3 linked regions of the Macaca mulatta genome follow. The protein of the gene in region 1 purifies or fractionates together with the protein of each later gene. This does not show direct contact. Links are inferred from orthologs where the notes say so. Each region holds a gene or a part of one and is shown on either strand. Other genes may lie near its edges.

Region 1 (3,650 bases):
ACTGAGGGGGCAGTGATGTTTGCTGAGGAAGAGGTTCTAGTGAGAGACTAAATGAATGAGTGAGTGAGGTAATGGATAAATAAAGATAAGAATGGATGAATGGTAAGATAATTAAATTGGTGACTGAATGTAAGGATAAATTAATGGAAGAATGGATTCATAGATTAAATAATTAATGGGGAAATTAATGAATGAGAGAATGAACGAGTGGTTGAATGGGGAAATGAGTGGTAGAGGAAACTGGCAACTGTTGGGTTGGGAGTGTCTATGGGGATTGACTCTTCTCCAACTCTCTTACCTCTTTTTCTTCTGCCCCCAGTGTCCTCTATTTCTCCATCCACCGCTATGAGCAGGGTAGGTTCTGGCCCCACCTGAAGGCCTCTAACTGGTCCACCACAGGTTTCGGCCAAGGCCAAGGATATACCATCAATGTGCCTTGGAACCAGGTCAGCATCCACCCACCCTTTGTCCCCAAAGTGAGGCCCAGCCCTGCCCTTCTGTCAGCAGCTCGGGACAGGTGGCTGAACATCCCCCACTACACTCCTGTGTCTGCAGGTGGGGATGCGGGATGCTGACTACATTGCTGCTTTCTTGCACGTCCTGCTGCCAGTCGCCCTCGAGGTCCTGGGGGTCTGGGGTGTGTTGGGGGAGAGGAGTGGCCTTGAAGGTTAGGCCGTGAGGGCAGGTAGCCTCATGGAGTCTGTTCCTCCTTCAGTTCCAGCCTCAGCTGGTCCTGGTGGCTGCTGGATTTGATGCCCTGCAAGGGGACCCCAAGGTAAGGCAGGCTCCCTGGGGCGGCAGATGGGCTGCACGGAGCCAGACTGACCCTCCATGTCCCCCCAGGGTGAGATGGCCGCCACTCCGGCAGGGTTCGCCCAGCTAACCCACCTGCTCATGGGTCTGGCAGGAGGCAAGCTGATACTGTCTCTGGAGGTGAGTGACTCACCTTCGTCCCTCAGCCTGTGGATCCTGGAGGGCTTAAGAACGAAGCTTTCAAGTCCAAAAGGAGTTCCTGGCCCAGCATTTCACTTACTAGCTGGACAACCTTGCATAAGTCACTTCACTTCTTTGTGCCTCCGCTTTCCTTCTGTAAAACGAGCATAATAATGGTAATCACCTCATATCATTGTCCAGTGAATTCAATGAGGCCCCCTTCTAAGTTCCTTGTTGCTTGACATTTGGTATGCACTCTCTTATTATTATCATCATTATTGTTATTCCCTGGTCATGTCTGGTCCTTTCCTGATCCCCCTTCACAACTCCTTGCCCCAGGGTGGCTACAACCTCCGCGCCCTGGCTGAAGGTGTCAGTGCTTCGCTCCACACCCTTCTGGGAGACCCTTGCCCCATGCTGGAGTCACCTGGTGCCCCCTGCCGGAGGTGAGCCCCAGTGGAGGAGGGGAAAGCGGGAGCCTCACTGCCTGCCCACATTCCTTGACCTCATATTTTCTCCCTGCCCTGCCCTGCAGTGCCCAGGCTTCAGTCTCCTGTGCTCTGGAAGCCCTTGAGCCCTTCTGGGAGGTTCTTGTGAGATCAAGTAGGAAGTGGGGTATGGGCCTGGTGTGGGGTGGACGTGGGATGAGCCCTGGGGCAGACTGTCTTCGGACTTTCTCTGACTTTACTGGGCTGCCTTGGAGGTAGAGGGTCAGGCCCTCTCTCTCCCTGGGCCCTGGTTTCAGGCCTCCCACCCCATTTTCTATTTGGGGTCACCTGAGTTCCAGAGTATGACGGGGATTCAGAGTGAGAGGGTAGGACAAACGTGGCCTCCCCCTTGTAGCTGAGACTGTGGAGGGGGACAACATGGAGGAGGACAATGTAGAGGAGAATGAGGAGGAAGGACCCTGGGAGCCCCCTGTGCTCCCAATCCTGACGTGGCCAGTGCTACAGTCTCGCACAGGGCTGGTCTATGACCAAAGTATGATGAATCACTGCAACTTGTGGGACAGGTAGGCATTTGGAGGGCTGGATGAGTAGGTGTTGGGGGTCCCTCCCCATCAGGCACTAAGCCCCTACCTCTCATTTCCCCACTGCTAGCCACCACCCTGAGGTACCACAGCGCATCTTGCGGATCATGTGCCGTCTGGAGGAGCTGGGCCTTGCTGGGCGCTGCCTCACCCTGACACCGCGCCCCGCCACAGAGGCTGAGCTGCTCACCTGCCACAGGTCAGACCCTGGTGCCTGGGGTGGGTGGCTTCCCAGGACTGTGGATGAGGTCTCAGGAGCTGGAGCTTGGGTTTCCCCTCCCAGGGAGCTGCTGCAGGACTTGAGAGGGGCTGAAGTTCCTGTCTTGCGGGTGGGTTCCAGGGAGGGGATGGACCCTCCTCACTGTCCTGCCGGTGCGCCTCTCTGTACCTCCAGTGCTGAGTATGTGGGTCATCTCCGGGCCACAGAGAAAATGAAAACCCGGGAGCTGCACCGTGAGAGTTCCAACTTTGACTCCATCTACATCTGCCCCAGTACCTTCGCCTGTGCACAGCTTGCCACTGGCGCTGCCTGCCGCCTGGTGGAGGCTGTGCTCTCGGGAGAGGTGTGTCCTCTGGGCTGGGGAGAGGAGGACCTGGGGAGAATAGAAAAAGAGGGCCACCTGCTGTTTCTGGAGGCTCTGAGAGAGTCAAGCAGGGCCTGAGGAAAGGGGCCATGGGGAGGGGCACAGGAGGGGGCGGGCCTAGAGGCTGCAGTAATAATGGAAGGAACTGGAGAAAGGGAAGGGTGGCCAAGTGCGGTGGCTCACATCTGTAATCCTAGTGCTTTGAGAAGCTGAGGTGAGCTCAGGAGGTCAAGGCTGCAGTGAGCCATGATTGTGCCACTGCACTCTAGCCTGGGCAACAGAGTGAGACTCTGTGTCAAAAAAAAAAAAAAAAAAAAAAGGTTGGGCACGGTGGCTCATGCCTGTAATCCCAGCACTTTGGGAGGCCGAGGCGGGCGGATCAAGAGGTCAGGAGATCGAGACCATCCTGGGTAACACGGTGAAACCCTGTCTCTACTAAAAAACACACAAAAAATTAGCCGGGCGTGGCGGTGGGCGCCTGTAGTCCCAGCTACTCAGGAGACTGAGGCAGGAGAATGACGTAAACATGGGAGGCGGAGCTTGCAGTGAGCCTAGATAGCACCACTGCACTCCAGCCTGGGCGACAGAGCGAGAAAAAAAAAAGAAGAAGGAAGAAAGGAAGGTGAGGGTGAGCTGGAGGGCAGGCTGTCCGATCTTAGCACCCTGCTGCTTCCTAGGTTCTGAATGGTGCTGCTGTGGTGCGTCCCCCAGGACACCACGCAGAGCAGGATGCAGCTTGCGGTTTTTGCTTTTTCAACTCCGTGGCTGTGGCTGCTCGCCATGCCCAGGCTATCAGTGGGCGTGCCCTGCGGTAAGGACTCCCTGGGGACCCCCCAAATCCTGATCCTTGTGGGGACCTGGATGCTCTCCCCAGCCCATTGCTTACTCATCATGCCCCATGGTCCAGCTCCCCAGGACTTCCCCAGAAAGAAGTAAGGGTACAGCCCTTACCCAGAGAAGGACTGAGGATGGAGCCTCTCAGTGCCTATTTAGATAGGACCCCCAGATCATATTACCTGGGTGCTTATAAAACAGGATTCAGGGTCCCACCCCAGCATTTCTGGCCTATAGCAGCTGCCTCGACAGAACCCAGGTCCAGGCTC
Region 2 (3,650 bases), on another chromosome or scaffold:
CCAACATGGCAAAATCCTGTCTCTACTAAAAGTACAAAAAAAAAAAAAAAAAAGAGCCAGGTGTGATGGCGCATGCCTGTAATCCCAGCTACTGGGGGGCTGAGGCAGGAGCGTCGCTTAAGCCTGGGAGGCGGAGGTTGCAGTGAGCCAAGATCATGCCACGGCACTACAGCCTGGGCAACAGAGCAAGACTCCGTCTCAAAAAAAAAAAAAAAAAAAAGCCAGTCACTAACTTTGATCTATAAATATAATTATTGGGATTTCAGGTGGGTGGAGGAAGATTTTTAAAGCAAGAACATTTTTTCTTTTTATTTTGTAACGGGGTCTCATCATGTTTCCCAGGCTGATCTCAAACTCCTGGCCTCAAGCAATCCTGCCTCAGCCTCCCAAGTAGGTGGGGTTACAGGTTCTAGCCACCGCACCCAGCTCAAAAGATTATAACTCTGCAGTAAATCCAGTAAATCATGGTGTGACAATGAGGTGTTGTATGTTTACAGTTGGACTGTTTCTCATGAGTACAGGCCCCTTCTTATCTGCAGATGTGGAACCCACAGATATAGAAGCCTGGATGCAAGGGACTTGAGCATCTGTAAATTTTGGTGTCCTCAGGGGCTCCTGGAACCAGTTCCCCATGGATGCTCAGGGATGACTGTGTTTCACAGTGATCTTGCAAGGCCTGTAAGGTCATGGTCATACTGTCCCTGTTCTCAGCTGTAAATGAGCTGGCAAAAGAATCTGTCTCATTAATGTGTTGAAAATTCAGTGAGATAACACAAAGCACTGAGTTCTTTTTCTTTTATATAAGAATTGCTTATTAAAGCTGGAGTTATAAATGTTATAATACTTAGACCTGTCTGTTGCCCCTTAAATGTAGAAGCTTCTAGAAAACAGAAACTAAATCGTAAGTGATTTTTAATCATCAGATGTGTGCTTTTAACCATTGAAATTGTATGTAACAGTGTTTGCTTTTTCTGTTTGTTTCATTAGTCTCATATAATGGCAGCAAAGGCTGTAGCAAATACAATGAGAACGTCACTTGGACCAAATGGTAAGAGTCCACCATTCCATGTTTTTAGCAAAAGATTTAAATCATAAAACTGTCAATACAAACCTCTCTACAGAAAGGTGGAGTATTGAGGGCAGCATCTTACTTCTTTAACACAGCGAAAATTTTGTAGTGTATCTCAGGTTTCTCAAACATGGTTATAATCGCGTGTAGTTTTAGGTCGGGCCTTTTTTTTTTTAACACGTTTAATATCATTTCATTAGCATTTTCCAAATCATAGTTGTCTTGAGATTAATACCATACTTAATGATGCTCCATAATTTTTTGCCATTTGTGTTAGCCAATCTCAAAATGCCTTCACGCAGCTATTATTTTGTGTATGTTGAAATATTTGCATATAATAAATTGCATAGATAAGAGCTGGGTGCAGAGGTCTTTTTTTATAGTTTGTGATATTGGTTGCCAGTTGTTTGCCCAAAGCCTACTAAATGTTGTCTTTTTAGGGCTTGATAAGATGATGGTGGATAAGGATGGCGATGTGACTGTAACTAATGACGGGGCCACCATCTTAAGCATGATGGATGTTGATCATCAGATTGCCAAGCTGATGGTGGAACTGTCCAAGTCTCAGGATGATGAAATTGGAGATGGAACCACAGGAGTGGTTGGTAAGAAAAGACAAAACATCCTTCCTTTCTCATTTAAGAGATGTCATTTAAGACTACAGGGCTAACATGCCTGCCGAGATTGTTGTCTCTGAATCAGAGCCTGAGGAGACAGACAAATCCAAGTTGAAGAACACGCTACAAAACAAATGCCCGGGACCTTCAAAACTGACAGTGTTAAAAAAGAATAGAAAGAGGCCTGGGGATTGTTAGGCAAGGAGAAATCTGTAATGATTGATTGGGCGCTGATTTTGTTTGTCTTTTAAGCTCTAAAGGAGGTTTGGGAAAAGTAGAGGAATTTGATTATGGATCATGTACTACAATGCTGAGTTTCCTGAGCGTGACCGCTGTATTGCATATGTGTAGGAGAATACCCTTATTCTCGGCTGTTTGCCTCAATACTTAGGAGTAACATGTCATGGTTTCTGCAACTAATTCTCAAATAGCTGAACAGAAACAGTTTGTACATGTAGAGAAAATGTGGCAAAATGTTAATAAGTAAACTGGTACTCATTTTAGTATTGTACCTTGTTTTTTGTAGATTTGAAATCTTTAAAAAGTTGGGGAAATTGAAGACAAAATATCAGTAAAGTTCTTTTCTGCAGATGAAACTTGAATTCATTCATTCAGCAAATATTTACTGGATACCATTATATGCCAGGCACTGTTCTCAGTGCGCTTGGAGAGCAGTAGATTTAAACAGAATTCATCTATGTGACCCTAAAATGAGGAGAAAGGAGGATGGGGGTGGGGGGAATAAATAATAAACAAATGTTTTAGTCTTATCACCAGGATGAATTTCACTGAATAGACCTTGGCCCATGAAACATAATAGCTTTTTACCTCTTAGAAAAATGTTCTTTTTACATTATATTCTTTAGTTACATTGTTTACATCACTGAGGGTTGAATGTTCGTCTATAAGGGGACATGTGTCCTATTAGACCTTTGCTAGAACCAAAACAAGAGGCTTTCTTTTAAAAATAGATAGCTTCTGCCTCTAAGATGACTTCCAGCTTAATTCTGGAAGCTTTTTCTTTCCATGACAGCATCTAACTTGTGCTGATTATACTAAAAGTGAAGTTTTGTTGTTTTCCTAAACTGATTGTCTGCTGGTTTGTTTGCAGTCCTGGCTGGTGCCTTGTTAGAAGAAGCGGAGCAATTGCTAGACCGAGGCATTCACCCTATCAGAATAGCTGATGGCTATGAGCAGGCTGCCCGCGTTGCTATTGAACACCTGGACAAGATCAGTGATAGCGTCCTTGTTGACATAAAGGACACCGAACCCCTGATTCAGACAGCAAAAACCACGCTGGGCTCCAAAGTGTACGTTTTGGTAGACGATACGATCACACATTTGTAGAGGCAGCTTGTTTGCCGTCTCTTAAAGGCAGCACAAAATGACCACTGGTGGATTTGTGTTGATTTTATGATTTCTTTCAGTTACTTGGTTTTGCTTTGTTTTTATTGTAGATGTAGATACATGCATTTTGTATTGTAGTTGAGAACTGAGTTTCTAAGTTCATGCATAAATCCCCTTGACAATATTTGCAAAATGTAGTTATTTTAATTTAGTAGAATAGATTGTGTTAAAAATCAGTCAGGGCTGGGTGCAGTGGCTCCTACTTGTAATCTTAGCACTTTAGGAGGCCAAAGCAGTAGCCTGCTTGAGCTCAGGAATTCAAGACCAGCCAGGGCAATATAGTGGGACCCCATTGCTACAAAACATAAAAAACCAGCCAGGCATGATAGTGCACTCCAGAGGCTAAGGTGAGAGGTTGAGGCACAGCAAGCCATGATCATGCCACTGCACTTCAGTTTGAGCAACAGAGCGAGACCCTGTCTCCAAAAAAAACTAGAAAGGGTCCTACCTGGAGCGTATGTGAATTTTCTTTTTTTTTTTTTTTTTTGAGACGGAGTCTTGCTCTGTCGCCCAGGCTGGAGTGCAGTGGCGTGATCTCCACTCACTGCAAGCTCCAC
Region 3 (2,816 bases), on another chromosome or scaffold:
AAGGCGCGCAGGGCGGGGGAGGGGCGGGGAGGGCCGGGCTGCCGCACCCGTCCGGGGCGGGGCTGCCTCCCTGCGCACCGGCCGCGGTGACTCAGCCCCGACCCGCCCGGGCCCGCCCGCGTCCCTTGTAGTTCTGGGAGGTGATCAGCGATGAGCACGGCATCGACCCCACGGGCACCTACCACGGGGACAGCGACCTGCAGCTGGAGCGCATCAACGTGTACTACAACGAGGCCACCGGTGAGGCCCCGGCCCTTTCCCCGACCGCCCTCCGGGGACCCCGCGGCCCCTGCCCTGGCTGATGCCCTCCCGTCCCCGCAGGCGGCAAGTACGTGCCCCGCGCCGTGCTCGTGGATCTGGAGCCCGGCACCATGGACTCCGTGCGCTCGGGGCCCTTCGGGCAGATCTTCCGGCCGGACAACTTCGTCTTCGGTGAGCTGCGGCTGGGGGCTGGGCGGCGGCTCAAAGGTCAAGGGGCTGCTCCAAGGGCACCTCCGTGGGAACTGCGCAGCCCGGGCCCCTGGACGCTCTTCTTTGAACCACTCAATCCCCTCTCCTAAATCGGCTTTGAGAGCAAGGTCCAGCTGTCTGCCGAGGCGAGGAGTCGCCACACACGTAATCTCCCTGCAGGGAGCTGAGCTGGGGGCAGTGGCTGTTGCTCTGTCCTTGGGAATTGGCAGTGGCCCCCCCCTCTCCGGGGAGGGGTTTGTTAAGCTCTCAGGTTTGGCTCTTGACTTAATCTGTAGCAGGGCAGGCTGCCGTCCTTTCACTTTGAGGGGTCTGTTTGGTCTACCTGCAGGGTGAATTCTGGGGTCAGCTCACACCATGTCACGAGGTCCTTTTCGCATGGTGGTGGTGACCAGTAGTGCTGTCTAGTTGGCTGATAAATGACTGTTTTCTCACAGGTCAGAGTGGTGCTGGGAACAACTGGGCCAAGGGGCACTACACAGAAGGCGCGGAGCTGGTGGACTCGGTGCTGGATGTTGTGAGGAAGGAGGCTGAGAGCTGTGACTGCCTGCAGGGATTCCAGCTGACCCACTCCCTGGGTGGGGGGACGGGGTCTGGGATGGGTACCCTCCTCATCAGCAAGATCCGGGAGGAGTACCCAGACAGGATCATGAACACGTTCAGTGTGGTGCCTTCGCCCAAGGTGTCAGACACAGTGGTGGAGCCCTACAACGCCACCCTCTCAGTCCACCAGCTCGTAGAAAACACAGACGAGACCTACTGCATTGATAACGAAGCTCTCTACGACATTTGCTTCAGAACCCTAAAGTTGACCACGCCCACCTATGGTGACCTGAACCACCTGGTGTCTGCTACCATGAGTGGGGTCACCACCTGCCTGCGCTTCCCGGGCCAGCTCAATGCTGACCTGCGGAAGCTGGCTGTGAACATGGTCCCATTCCCCCGCCTGCACTTCTTCATGCCCGGCTTTGCCCCGCTGACCAGCCGGGGCAGCCAGCAGTACCGGGCCCTGACCGTGCCCGAGCTCACCCAGCAGATGTTTGATGCCAAGAACATGATGGCTGCTTGTGACCCCCGCCATGGCCGCTACCTGACGGTTGCTGCCGTGTTCAGGGGCCGCATGTCCATGAAGGAGGTGGACGAGCAAATGCTTAATGTCCAAAACAAAAACAGCAGCTATTTTGTTGAGTGGATCCCCAACAATGTGAAAACAGCTGTCTGTGACATCCCGCCCCGGGGGCTAAAAATGTCCGCCACCTTCATCGGCAACAGCACGGCCATCCAGGAGCTGTTCAAGCGCATCTCCGAGCAGTTCACGGCCATGTTCCGGCGCAAGGCCTTCCTGCACTGGTACACGGGCGAGGGCATGGACGAGATGGAGTTCACCGAGGCTGAGAGCAACATGAACGACCTGGTGTCTGAGTACCAGCAGTACCAGGACGCCACGGCCGAGGAGGAGGGCGAGTTCGAGGAGGAGGCTGAGGAGGAGGTGGCCTAGAGCCTTCAGTCACCGGGGAAAGCAGAGAGGCAGTGCGAACTCTTTATTCCCTCCCAGCCTGTCCTGTGGCCTGTCCCGCTGTGTGTGCACTTCTGTTTTCCCTGTCCTCATCCCATGCTGTACAGACACCACCATTAAAGCATTTTCATAGTGTGCGGTTTCGCCTCGCCCATTCCTTCCAGTAGGCCCTCCGGGTGCTATTGCCGAATGTCAGTGCGTAGTTGTCCTGCATGGCTGCGGGGAGCCAGGCTGTAGGTGAGCTGGGCTTATGTACCCAGGGACCAGCATGGGCTGGACACCCAGGCTTCAGAGAAGTGTGCAGCTGCCCTGGGCCCTGGGGATCTGCTTGGTGGGGAACCTGCTTCTTGAAGGCAGGCCTGACCTGTTCTGGGTACCCAACCTTGGGGCCCATTGGCCTGTGTCTGGGACTTTAGCCCCCTTCCGAAAGGGGTAGGGAGGATGGCAGACAATCCTACCCCAACCAAGGTGGGACCCTGGTTGGTAACGGTGGTCAGACAGGTGGTCCTGAACCAGCAATGAAGGGTGGGCAGGTACAGCTGCCCCTCCCCACGTTGGCCAGGGTGTGTCCGTGTGACCCTTCCCGCCCTGTACTCACAGGGGATGAACCCCATGTAGAAGGGGATCAGGCCTTGGCTGCTGTAGATGTGGTTGCTGGGCCAGTGTGTTCCAGGCAGCTTCTCACCCAGGTCACAGTGGGGGTTTCTAAATAGGAACTGGGGAGACAGGCAGGTGCTGACAAGCTGCCACCCCAGCAGGCAACCAGAGAGTAAACTCTCCCAGTGGGGGCCTGGCCGGAGGGCCGGCACTCTCCGTGGGGAAGCTGCTCGTG

The links.
Region 2: the proteins of HDAC6 (region 1) and CCT5 purify together in Homo sapiens (affinity purification with mass spectrometry, with the first as the bait; 3 studies listed by BioGRID). This does not show direct contact. The link is inferred for Macaca mulatta from reciprocal best matches to the Homo sapiens genes HDAC6 and CCT5.
Region 3: the proteins of HDAC6 (region 1) and TUBB4B purify together in Homo sapiens (affinity purification with mass spectrometry, with the first as the bait; 4 studies listed by BioGRID). This does not show direct contact. The link is inferred for Macaca mulatta from reciprocal best matches to the Homo sapiens genes HDAC6 and TUBB4B.

What each region holds. Positions count from the first base shown.
Region 1 is NC_133426.1:48,893,633-48,897,282, forward strand, and holds part of HDAC6 (protein deacetylase HDAC6), read left to right. Parts: intron 1-319; coding exon 320-446; intron 447-555; coding exon 556-621; intron 622-715; coding exon 716-775; coding exon of another isoform or gene 776-784; intron 785-843; coding exon 844-933; intron 934-1,272; coding exon 1,273-1,379; intron 1,380-1,468; coding exon 1,469-1,536; coding exon of another isoform or gene 1,537-1,548; intron 1,549-1,776; coding exon 1,777-1,945; intron 1,946-2,033; coding exon 2,034-2,162; intron 2,163-2,357; coding exon 2,358-2,526; intron 2,527-3,224; coding exon 3,225-3,358; intron 3,359-3,650.
Region 2 is NC_133411.1:11,400,286-11,403,935, forward strand, and holds part of CCT5 (T-complex protein 1 subunit epsilon), read left to right. Parts: intron 1-987; coding exon 988-1,048; intron 1,049-1,509; coding exon 1,510-1,674; intron 1,675-2,797; coding exon 2,798-2,996; intron 2,997-3,650. UniProt on the Homo sapiens protein: Component of the chaperonin-containing T-complex (TRiC), a molecular chaperone complex that assists the folding of actin, tubulin and other proteins upon ATP hydrolysis.
Region 3 is NC_133420.1:5,210,338-5,213,153, reverse strand, and holds the end of TUBB4B (tubulin beta-4B chain), read left to right. Parts: intron 1-131; coding exon 132-240; intron 241-321; coding exon 322-432; intron 433-904; exon of another isoform or gene 905-905; coding exon 906-1,966; 3' UTR 1,967-2,111; downstream 2,112-2,816. Other genes in the region: CIMIP2A (ciliary microtubule inner protein 2A), read right to left, coding at 2,112-2,200, 2,583-2,700. UniProt on the Homo sapiens protein: Tubulin is the major constituent of microtubules, a cylinder consisting of laterally associated linear protofilaments composed of alpha- and beta-tubulin heterodimers.